Linked DNA regions of Neodiprion lecontei. The protein of the gene in region 1 interacts with the protein of each later gene in a pairwise test. Links are inferred from orthologs where the notes say so. Each region holds a gene or a part of one and is shown on either strand. Other genes may lie near its edges. The genes, in order: E3 ubiquitin-protein ligase SIAH1 and ras GTPase-activating protein-binding protein 1.

Region 1 (5,986 bases):
ACTATCTTAATTCTTGCCAAAGTTCTTACCCACGTGGGACTTTAGTGAAGCGAAATTCTTGATCGATCTTCTGTTAGTCGATCGAATTACATATTTTTTACTGATATAAATGCGGATCCGTGATAGGAGAAATAATAATTTTACGTTTACAGCACGGAAGAATCGAAGTTAAGTGTAGTGCCCTCAACTTATCGACGCAGTTTTTAGATCATAATCGGTGTCAGGTATCAGTGATGCCTCTTTAGGTGCTCTTGTGGTTCAGCGTCGACTGAAAATTGCCAAAGCAGCCAGCCATGGGTATTATTCTTTTCAAGCATGGAAAGGAGCACGACTGGGCGGCGGTAACTGCCATGCCCTACATTTACCTCCACGCCAAAGTTAATTGAGTCGGTAGCGGTAGGGGACTCCTGTACCGAAGTTCGCCAGGCTTCAAAAAAATTACTGTTCCCCAGAATTTTTTTCCAATATTACGAAAACTATGCATCCTAATCGTTTCCTTTGCGGCCTTGGATGTTCCGTGAGGAATAGAATCTCATAAAATCAATCGAAATCGACAAAATTTCATGGCGTGTGAATCGTGAAATGTTGGTGCGTCGCTTAGGTCGATTAAATTCTAAGCCTAGGCAACTTATATTTTAAAAAAAGGGCATGAGAACGCGGTAATGAGTTACTACGAAATTGTTACAATCGACGATTTTCCATGATTGGAGAATTCAGCTCGGAGTCATGGTAATCAGAGTTTTCAGACGTTTCACAGATGTTTTGGTGTCTATTTGTTTGGGATTGCATGGAGAAATGCACTCCTACTTTTTTTTGATAAAAGATGTCTAGGCTCAGATTTTAATCGACATTAGTGACGCACGCATATTTCACAATTCACACGATGTAAAATTTCGTCAATGTTGATTGATTTTGTGCTTTTATCAGAATCTATTCCTCAAGAATATTCCAAGACCGTGAAGACACCGGAACTGAGAGGCCTTTCGCGTCAAATTATAAAATGTTTTGAAAAAAATCAGCATTTAATTCATTACATGATTAATCTTGTAAATTCGATAAAATAATCACATAATAAATTACTATACAAATAATGAAATTAATAATCATATGAAGTGGCATAATCGGAACCGAAACAAATATCGTGCAAAAATCTTTGGCTTATCAGGTGGAGGGCTTGTTAAAATATCCATGCTCTCATCCGAGGGGGTAGAAAAAAAAAATTCTCAGTGGAACAAATCAAACGACACTTCGAAAAATCCGATAACTCATTGTGAGTGCGGTGAACAGTCCCTTCTGAACGTGGTTTGAACATTCTGAACATGGTTCCGAGTTAGATTCTCTGAACAAGGACCCCAAATGTCGCATGCGATATCTAGGGTCCAGTTTCAAAAATCCCCAGACCCTGAAATCTTGAACGTCTTGAAAAATGAGTCTGAAATAAGTTTGTCGCCTGAAATCAGCTGCCAGGCTGCTAGCTGTGGAGTGTATAGTAGGGGGGGATATCTTAAGGGTTATAAAAAGTGAGCTGATTATGGGTACAAATAAGAGTGGTGCTGTGAAAACGTAAGTTGCTGATCTGAACCATCTGAAGTTAGTTTCAAATATCATAAGTTTAAGTGTAACTAACTTCAACATTCAACTTTGTAATAATCGGCGCCACGTCGGTTATTCTATGTTCCCTTACTTGCCTACAGAATTTGACCACATTCTGACGCGCCATACATTAGAGAGTGCCCTCCTTCTATACACTCCAAACTGCTAGTCATAAAAACTCCCTAGAACACAGGCAGGGCTAGTCGTTAATTCGTTAGCGCAAACGCAAAAGATTACCGACAGCATTGAAAGGTGCTGTGCCAGTAATTGAATTGTGTGATGGAAGGAGACAGCCGATTGGAAGAGGAAGAAAAAGAATCCATGTGATGTGATAATCGGACGAGGCCTAACATATCTATTTTTTTTTCTGGTCTAGTGTGGTGAAATATGTAAGTCGTGTAGTGCACGTATTGCAAACGTTGGTAAATGTGTAGGCGTGCATGTATTTGCCTATACGTGCTTGACTGCGTACATGCATCGAAAGCAGGTATAAGCAGAAGTTGTCGCTAGTGCAGTGGTAATTTTTGCAGTACTTGAAAAAAAGAAAGACAATCAGCCAATAGACATTTTATCAGCATGAAGTGTCCAGAGATACGACGGATAACGTTCGCGCATCGTCTGTTGTGAATCATAATGAAGATATAAGTACTGGCTACTAACTATACAATGTACGCATGGTGTGTATGCATGTACGTACATACATACGTACTGGCATGCGCTGAAGTGGAGAAGTGACAAAGTAAGACTAGATAACACGCCGTACGCGTACGGCGTGCATGTAGTAGGTAGAGGCCCCTTGTAAACGTCGCCAGTCGCCACTGCCTATCGCCTGTCGTCGCTCGTCAGTCTTCAGTCTATCTACTAGATCAGAGCCTGAGTTTGATCACGTCCTCCGTAGATCCAAGTCCGCGCCCTCGCCGGCAATCGTCCGACGCCACGATGCCGTTGACACCCCCGACGTCTTTGCCCTCCTTGTCAGTGTCAATATTACTGTCAGTTTCGTTATCCTCGTCGTCGTCATCGTCATCGCCATCGCCATCATCTTCATCATCATCACCATCATCATCATCATCATCATCATCATCAGTATCATCATCATCATCGCCGTCGTCGTTGCCGTCGCCGTTGTCGCTGTCATTGTCTTCGCAGCTTCCGTTGCCGTTGCCACCGCCCGTACACAGCACCACCACCGCAGAGCAAACCGTCGACGCGCCTCGATCTCGCTACGTCGCGATGTAGCTTTCCCGTCGATTCGGTTTATTTTTTTATTATCGAGTGTCCGTAAACGTTGACACTATCCGTACCACAGAAAGAAGGGGTTAGTTTCCATGTCGGAAGACTCGGGCTTGTTTGCGTCCAACGATAATATTCGTTCAAGTGCCTTTTTTTAATCTTATCATTACTACTGTAAGCAAGACCTATACCAAAACCAATACCAAAATAAGAATATCCAATGAATAATACCGGAACGTTGTGACAGGCCGCCTTGCATCCTTTTCTTGTGGAACCTCACTGGTGCGGAAAATTTGTAATGAAATCGTTAATGAGTTAACGAGATAAACCAACCCACCAGGTATACCTCAGATATCGGGGACAGCCGGTCAGGTATAAAACGAAACTGGGGACGTTCTTTCACACAAAAAATTAGACTTAGATAAGACCAGTGACCTAGGAAGGAAGCGTCCCGTTACAGTCTGCAATCCGCTCGACATAATGTCACAATTGAATATAAGTTCGGGAAAGCGAGGCCGTGGAGTACCGGGCACCTCAGCATCGGCAGCCTCTGCATTGAGCAGTTCTGCGGATCTAGCCAGCCTCTTCGAATGCCCCGTGTGCTTTGACTATGTCTTGCCACCTATACTGCAATGCCAGAGCGGTCATCTAGTATGCAGCAACTGTCGCCCCAAGCTCAACTGTTGTCCCACTTGTCGGGGTCCCCTAGGTTGGTACATACATTATTCACCAACTTTGTCCCAGTTACTTATACTTTTATAGTATCTACCTATGTTTGACTGTGATGGGTACCGATGATGTTATCTTCTCGTCCAGTTTACCTTGAATTTAAAAAAAAAAAAAAACAAACAACCAAACAGGTAACATCAGGAACCTGGCAATGGAGAAAGTAGCGAGCAATGTAATGTTCCCCTGCAAGTATTCGACAAGCGGTTGTACTGTATCTCTTGTCCACACGGAGAAAGCTGATCATGAGGATGCTTGTGAGTTTCGACCCTACAGTTGCCCTTGCCCCGGTGCTTCTTGCAAGTGGCAGGGATCTCTCGAACAAGTCATGCCTCACCTTGTTATGAGCCATAAGAGTATTACCACCCTTCAAGGTAATCTGCAAATATTAGTCTAGCTTACAACTATTTCTAATAATCGATGCAACAGACTAATCACTAGGAAAGACAGGGATTTTTTCTTACTGTAATTGGTGATGTGCTGTAATTTGGAAACATATTCTGCAGCAATCCTATTCTCTTCTAGGTGAAGACATCGTATTTTTAGCAACGGATATCAATCTTTCTGGAGCAGTAGATTGGGTTATGATGCAGTCATGTTTTGGTCATCACTTTATGCTTGTCTTGGAGAAACAAGAAAAGTATGATGGACATCAGCAATTCTTTGCCATTGTTCAACTAATTGGTTCAAGGAAACAAGCTGAAAACTTCGCGTACAGGTAGATATTATTTTTTTATAATCTCGTGACTATTTATTATTTGCCACTGAGGTCACAACAGGCAGGTACTGGAATAAAAAGTAGGAGGCACTTGATTTTTATCGAACTGTCAATTACATACGTGAATGAATTAATTTCAACATATCAATTTTTCAAAATATTCATCATTGATTTATTGACGTGAGATATATTCGTCGGAAAAATCGAGGACTCGAAAAAATATTCAAGAAAAATGATTTGTCTGATTTGAATTTTTTAATTTAATTATTTTATTCCTATTCCGATATTCCTAAGAGTGAATTGGAATTTATTTTGCACTTTTTGTCATTTACCATACGTAAAATATCGTCTGGATTATTTATTGCTTATGGGGAAATATTTTAGCACAACGGAGTCCTATTCCATGACGTAGCCATTTTTCCTTAACTTTTAAAGATTAATCTAAATATCAGATAGAGCCTGCATTATTATAATTTATGTCAGGGATATCATAGAGTTAATATTATGTTACATCATTATAGTTATAGTACATGGCTCTCTATAAATAATATACTTATAACCAGCTTTATAGTCAGGATCAAGTCCGCGGACTTCCATCGTAGATGGATTGAATATACATATACAATCTATACTAAACGCTGTTTATATTTTCATGCATATTTATGAATATATGATTATATACACAGTATAGAATAATGAAGACAAGATAAGACCTGTGAGTTTAAAGTTTGGCTGTGAAAGTTATAATGGCATCTGAGTCTGGTTTTTTCTTTCTCGATATTTCAGATTGGAATTGAATGGTCATAGACGACGGCTTACGTGGGAAGCTATGCCAAGATCTATCCACGAAGGTGTATCTTCTGCTATTCTTAATTCCGACTGCTTAGTGTTTGATACGTCGATGGCACAATTATTTGCCGATAATGGAAACCTTGGGATCAACGTGACCATTTCTATGGCCTGAAATAAACAAATGATCAGATAGCAAGCAAATGAACAATGCTGGACAGTGAAAATCGTTTATGGCATCACATATACAGTGGAAATGTCTACATTCGATAAGGTCACCTTACATGACTTCCCGTTCCTACCGCCTTGATATACTTGGAACAAAGGTAGAGCATTTTTCCATCGTTAGCGCAATCACTGTATACAAGATAGCAGATGTAATTTGCCCAACATTAGGTTCGCAATTAATTTCTAACTATTCGCTAGTAGTTACAATGCCGATTACCTGGTAAAACTGGTTTACATTAGTAGATTTAATAGTGAGTACACAAACATACTTTTTCTATAAATAATTCTGCTAATTTAGGTATAGTTACTGTCCACACAGAGCCAGTAATTCAGTAGAGAAGAGTTGACAATCGCAACAGTTGCCAAATAATAACACATTCTGTAGATTCGCATGTTTCGGACCCAGCTACTGAGCGCCAGAGTCCCTACGAAACAGAGTCCGGCCAATCTTCTCTATCTTGGTCCTCATTTTCTGATGAATCGAAATTGCGCGAAGTTTTAAACACATATAAGTAGGTAGAAACGTTAATATTAATAAACAAACATATTACAAGCTAATATTGCAATATGTTTATTATACAAAATCAACGTTTCTACCTACTTATGTGTTTAAATCTTCCCACAATTTCGGTTTATCAAAAAATGGCGGCCAAGGCGGAGGCAATGACCTGACTCTGTTTTGTAGGGTCTCTACTCTGT
Region 2 (4,942 bases), on another chromosome or scaffold:
CAGTCCACAGCAATAGTTTCTCATTTGCGTTCATCCATATTAACATAATATACTGCAGTACATGAAATCATTAAAATAACATAATATAGCCCAGCTCTTCTGTATAAATTTGTATTTCACCTAATAATAATGATAATAGTAATGGTAATGATAATATTATTTAATAACTAGTTGACAAGACAGAAAAAAAGTAAAAGCACGGCCCGAACAAACCGCTTGAATGATGCAGTTAATTTCTACACAGGTGTCAAGTATTATAGTAAATATAAAGATGTATGCTGACGCTGATTTCGCATATTCTTAGAATGTTGCAATACTGGTTTCATTTTTTGAATATTCGATGGATTGTAATGATGTATATCAATTGTACTCATAGCCCTATGCAGTTTGGCTGTTGTATATGACATAATTAGGCAAATTGGAACCGCAAATCTTATCTGAAGATAATTTATCTAATATGAGGTATTTATTATACAGAATAAATTCAATCTATAAATGCTGTTGAATGGGACCCACATGCTCTACTTGAGCGGTCCTATTTGACAGCAGAATGAGTTATACTATTATATAACTGGCAAATAGATCGGTTTTAACCTTGAATAATCAAAACTAAAGATCATACGTCCTGATTTCGGGTAATTTTGTGTGTGCACAATCAGTATATGAACAACATATAACTTATGGGAATTGATGATAAAATGATCGATAAAACAAGCCAATGAAGACTGTGAAACAAACTGCATTTTGTACAAAAGAAAAAAAAATTGATTTAAAACAAGATTAGGTTCGCTCCTATTCTGTGAGCTGGAGAGCATCCCGACATGTTGCAATCAACCATGTCCAACCATTTTAACAGTAAGATTATTTTAATTTTGTTTATAAATAAACTTAAAAGCTATTGTAGCGAAGTAAGCAGGCAATGTACTTTTTACAATGTTGTAAAAAGATTGCTTTCTTATTGTTAAACAAGATATAGAATTAAATAAAAACTCATTTTGTGTACATAAATTGTCTGACTATTCATCCTCATTCTTTCTATGTTACCTTGAGAACCTGCATCAAGTGTAACACTATACGTAATTTTTACTTTTAATGGCGGTTTGCGGTGTATCGCGTGAAAAGATGTTTGTACCATAAAGCCCATCTCGACAATACACAAATCAGTAACAGTAACTAGGTATGACAATTATACTTCACCATCAATCTAGTCCCCATTTAAATGCTGTGCCTAATTTGTCGTCACACTTAGTAGAAAATCATTCATACCGAGTGTAATTTTTATTTGTTTATTTAATTTAACGAGTGAAAGTAATATATTAGTGGTTTTATCGTGTATGTATGTCCGATGTACATACATGCATACATGCAGAAAACATCGCCCCAAAATATTCACTATAATTATAGTAATAGGAATTCAGGCAAGAGCTGGTAGCGCGGTAAATTATTTATTGTTCCCGGCTAAGTAATGCAAAGTTATAATATTGGAAAGCTATTTGAATCGGTTATATTCCCTTGCTTATTTCCCTCAATTACAGTATGATATCAGGGTATCGGAAGCAACAATAACCACTGCTATTTTACAGGATCATTCAGTCGTTCCATGTATTTTCGCACATAAATTTTGCAGAATGCGCCGAATATTTTTGTCCGAAATATGCAGCCATGTTTGTTTGTAACCGCAGTCAAACCGTTCGACCCTCCCGGGTTTCTGATGTGTGGGGTCTACACGATTGAAATCACGGCTAGCCTCGAAGCAGCTCCCAAAGCCTTTGGGTTCGAAGCCTCTCGAATCGCGCATGCGCATCCAGTGCATGTGCTGACACCACGGTACACTGAGGGTCCTACACCGAACTGTTTTTATAATTAACATTATTGTAAACTGTTATTATTCATACTGAACCTTGTTTCATCGAAATTTGTCCAGCGTAACACTACCGTGTAACTTAAGTGTAACCAAACGCATCAAGATCTGTGAAGGTGAGCATTGGATTAGACCGATATTTCGTGTATATCTCGCTAAGAACAGCACCACAATCTCAGAAGACCTTGCACCGAGCAATTTCGGCGTGGTTTCACATGCCATAGCCCTAGACATGCCGGCTTTGTAGGCTCAATTGAACATAGCGTTACACGCTCTATGGTATAACCTCACATTACTCGGTATTTGTTATCACTCAAAAAAATTTCTGTCAACTCCAAGTGAGCGATTTTTTCTTTTTTTTTTTTTATGCTACCGTAGCCCTTGGAAATTTTCGCAAAATGTCCACGAATTTAATCGCCATGCCCCGCCACAGAGCGCCACTCTGAGGACGCTGCGTTTATGCATTGTCCGCCTCGAGAGATTTTTCAGTTTGTTTAATCCTGGCATCTGGGTTCGGCCAATCTATCCGGATAGCGTCACTTGGGAACAAAATTCTGCCGAAGTAGAATTAACATACTCTACTCGCCTCTAATAATGCGCCCCACACGTCTTTGTATTCACCATAATTCCAAATAATTTGAATTTTTTTCTTGCACCTTCTGTTTTAATTTCATGTTCTCACCTGGTTCATGACTAATTTTTAGTATTCATCTACAGACTATCCATCATTATTTTGCTGTTTGATGCCCCTTGGCTTTTTTCTGAAGCTTGATATTCAATCAAGGTTGGAACGTTATGCCTAAAACACAGTGTTCCGTCGTGTAACTTCCCACAAGAAAAGATGCATTCACTTCCAAAGATAACGACTCCTATTTGCTTCTATTATATATAGATTATATTATACTCTGTAAATCAGTTGCCCGAACTCTGAAGTATGCATAGGTTGGAATTGAAGTAGTTTTAATGTAACTCGTACTGTTGTTGACAAATGCTTATTGTACAAGAATTTCAAACGTGACCAATGACTAATGACTGACAAATAGATTAGATGAAAGGAAAAACATATTTTGTATAAATATGCTGCCGTCTGAGATGTCTTTGAATATATTTTAACCCAGCCAAGAGTTTAGTATTTACATGCAGAACATTTCTACAGATAATCTATCCTTTTTTTTTGTACATTCTCATTAATTTTAATTATATTGCGCCTATGTTTCAGAAAATCTGCCTGCCTTAATATTTGTAAGACTTTTCAATCATCAACAACATCTCACTAGGTACTCAAGATAATCAGTTTGCTGAGAAATATCAACCTTGTTATATAATTAACTCATACTTGAAGACGGAAAACAGCGTCAAGGAGTAGGACAGGAAATGGTCATGGAGGCATCCCCCTCGCCCCAATCTGTCGGCCGCGAGTTCGTCCGACAATACTATACTTTGCTGAACAAGGCCCCGTCCCACCTGCATAGGTATTCTATAAGTTCATAAATGATTTATATAATTTGGTGTAGTAACAGATATGCCCTACGTTACCTGCACATCACAATGTGTTCATTTATTATTACTACCAGTACTCAGTCATTACATAATACTCTTTTGCAGAACTACTGTTCAGATTTGTTTATCATAAATCTATTACTGCTGCTGTAGTGCTTAGATGATAATTTCAATATTCTTCACCTTTGCTGTTCACTTACCACCATTTACTTCAGTGAAAGTAGTCTCCTTACAGCAGTACAGATTTTTCAACAGACATATCCAAAATTTAATGGACGTATTCATGTCACTCAAAGTTGTACCAATAATATTCGGAAATACGATTGTAAAATTTCTGTTGAGAAATTTGAGGTCAGATACAAAAAAACCAAACAGTATGTAATATTTGTAGCACTACAAGTTTTTTGGATTTATGATAAACTATGTGGTCTGTACTACGCAAAACCTACTCCCTGCTACGTCACCATATGATTATGAATTGTGACCTTTACCTAATTTCTCATTTAGGTTCTATAATAACCACTCGTCGTTTGTTCATGGAGGGCTGGACGCTCCTAACAGAGAAATAAATCCAGCTATTGGTCAGAAACAAATCCATCAAAAAATCCAACAATTGAATTTTCGCGATTGTCATGCAAAGATCAGTCAAGTTGACTCACAGGCTACACTTGGGAATGGTGTTGTTGTTCAGGTATATAATCATTCTAACATTTACAACTTTGACCAATCATTATGTAACCACTAGATTATTGACAAGTTTTTATAACAATTCTCTAGCATGATATAATTTGGCTGTAACAATTGTTACAGGTGACAGGAGAGCTGTCTAATGCAGGACAGCCGATGCGTCGCTTCACACAAACGTTTGTTTTGGCTGCGCAAGCACCAAAAAAGTACTACGTTCATAATGACATCTTTCGTTACCAAGACCTTGGCTTCCCTGATGAGGAAGAAGGAGAAGTTGAAGGTGGTGATGGGGGTATAGGTGAAGGCGTTGGTGAACGGGAACCTGAAGAAGGTGTGCGTTCGGAACCAGAAGAGGATGAACAACCCAATCAAGGGCATCAGTTGCCACCGGCAACTGCACCTCCAGAGCCACAAGGTCCACCTTCCCTTATTCCAAGTCAACAACCACAGCTTCAACAGCAACAGCAACACGTATACTACGCCCCGCCACCTCAGCAACCCGTAAGCTGTGTTTTAATATTGATACGCAAAACAATATTGTTTTTAACTGGTACTCACACATGTCAAGGGTACTCGACTATACACAACGAAGATTAGCTTCACATATTTCAATGTATCATGATTTATTTTGTGTAGTATTACGATCCCGCAATAGACAGGCTGCATAGAATTTTTGACATGGAACAGGGGAAAACTCGGGAAATTGGAGGTCTGGCGGTGGTGTGTTATCCTCAATAGTCAATTCTATTTATAGATTGTGATCTCCAGATGCAGCAAAATTTTATTTGCATTAATAAAAATGAGAATTATCTATTTTTCTTATCTCATAATAGAAATTGTGCTAATATTGAACAGATGTGTAATGTCACTGTAATTACAGTTAATACTTGATGT

What was found.
Region 2: the proteins of E3 ubiquitin-protein ligase SIAH1 (region 1) and ras GTPase-activating protein-binding protein 1 interact in a two-hybrid assay, tested with the Drosophila melanogaster proteins (2 studies listed by BioGRID). The link is inferred for Neodiprion lecontei from reciprocal best matches to the Drosophila melanogaster genes sina and rin.

Annotation. Positions count from the first base shown.
Region 1 is NC_060264.1:36,320,403-36,326,388, forward strand, and holds E3 ubiquitin-protein ligase SIAH1, read left to right. Parts: upstream 1-1,804; 5' UTR 1,805-2,332; exon of another isoform or gene 2,333-3,073; 5' UTR 3,074-3,306; coding exon 3,307-3,535; intron 3,536-3,686; coding exon 3,687-3,926; intron 3,927-4,077; coding exon 4,078-4,270; intron 4,271-5,056; coding exon 5,057-5,234; 3' UTR 5,235-5,274; downstream 5,275-5,986. UniProt on the Drosophila melanogaster protein: E3 ubiquitin-protein ligase that is required for specification of R7 photoreceptor cell fate in the eye by mediating the ubiquitination and subsequent proteasomal degradation of Tramtrack (ttk).
Region 2 is NC_060262.1:29,946,650-29,951,591, reverse strand, and holds the start of ras GTPase-activating protein-binding protein 1, read left to right. Parts: upstream 1-1,804; 5' UTR 1,805-1,977; intron 1,978-3,080; 5' UTR 3,081-3,235; coding exon 3,236-3,333; intron 3,334-3,868; coding exon 3,869-4,052; intron 4,053-4,171; coding exon 4,172-4,549; intron 4,550-4,942.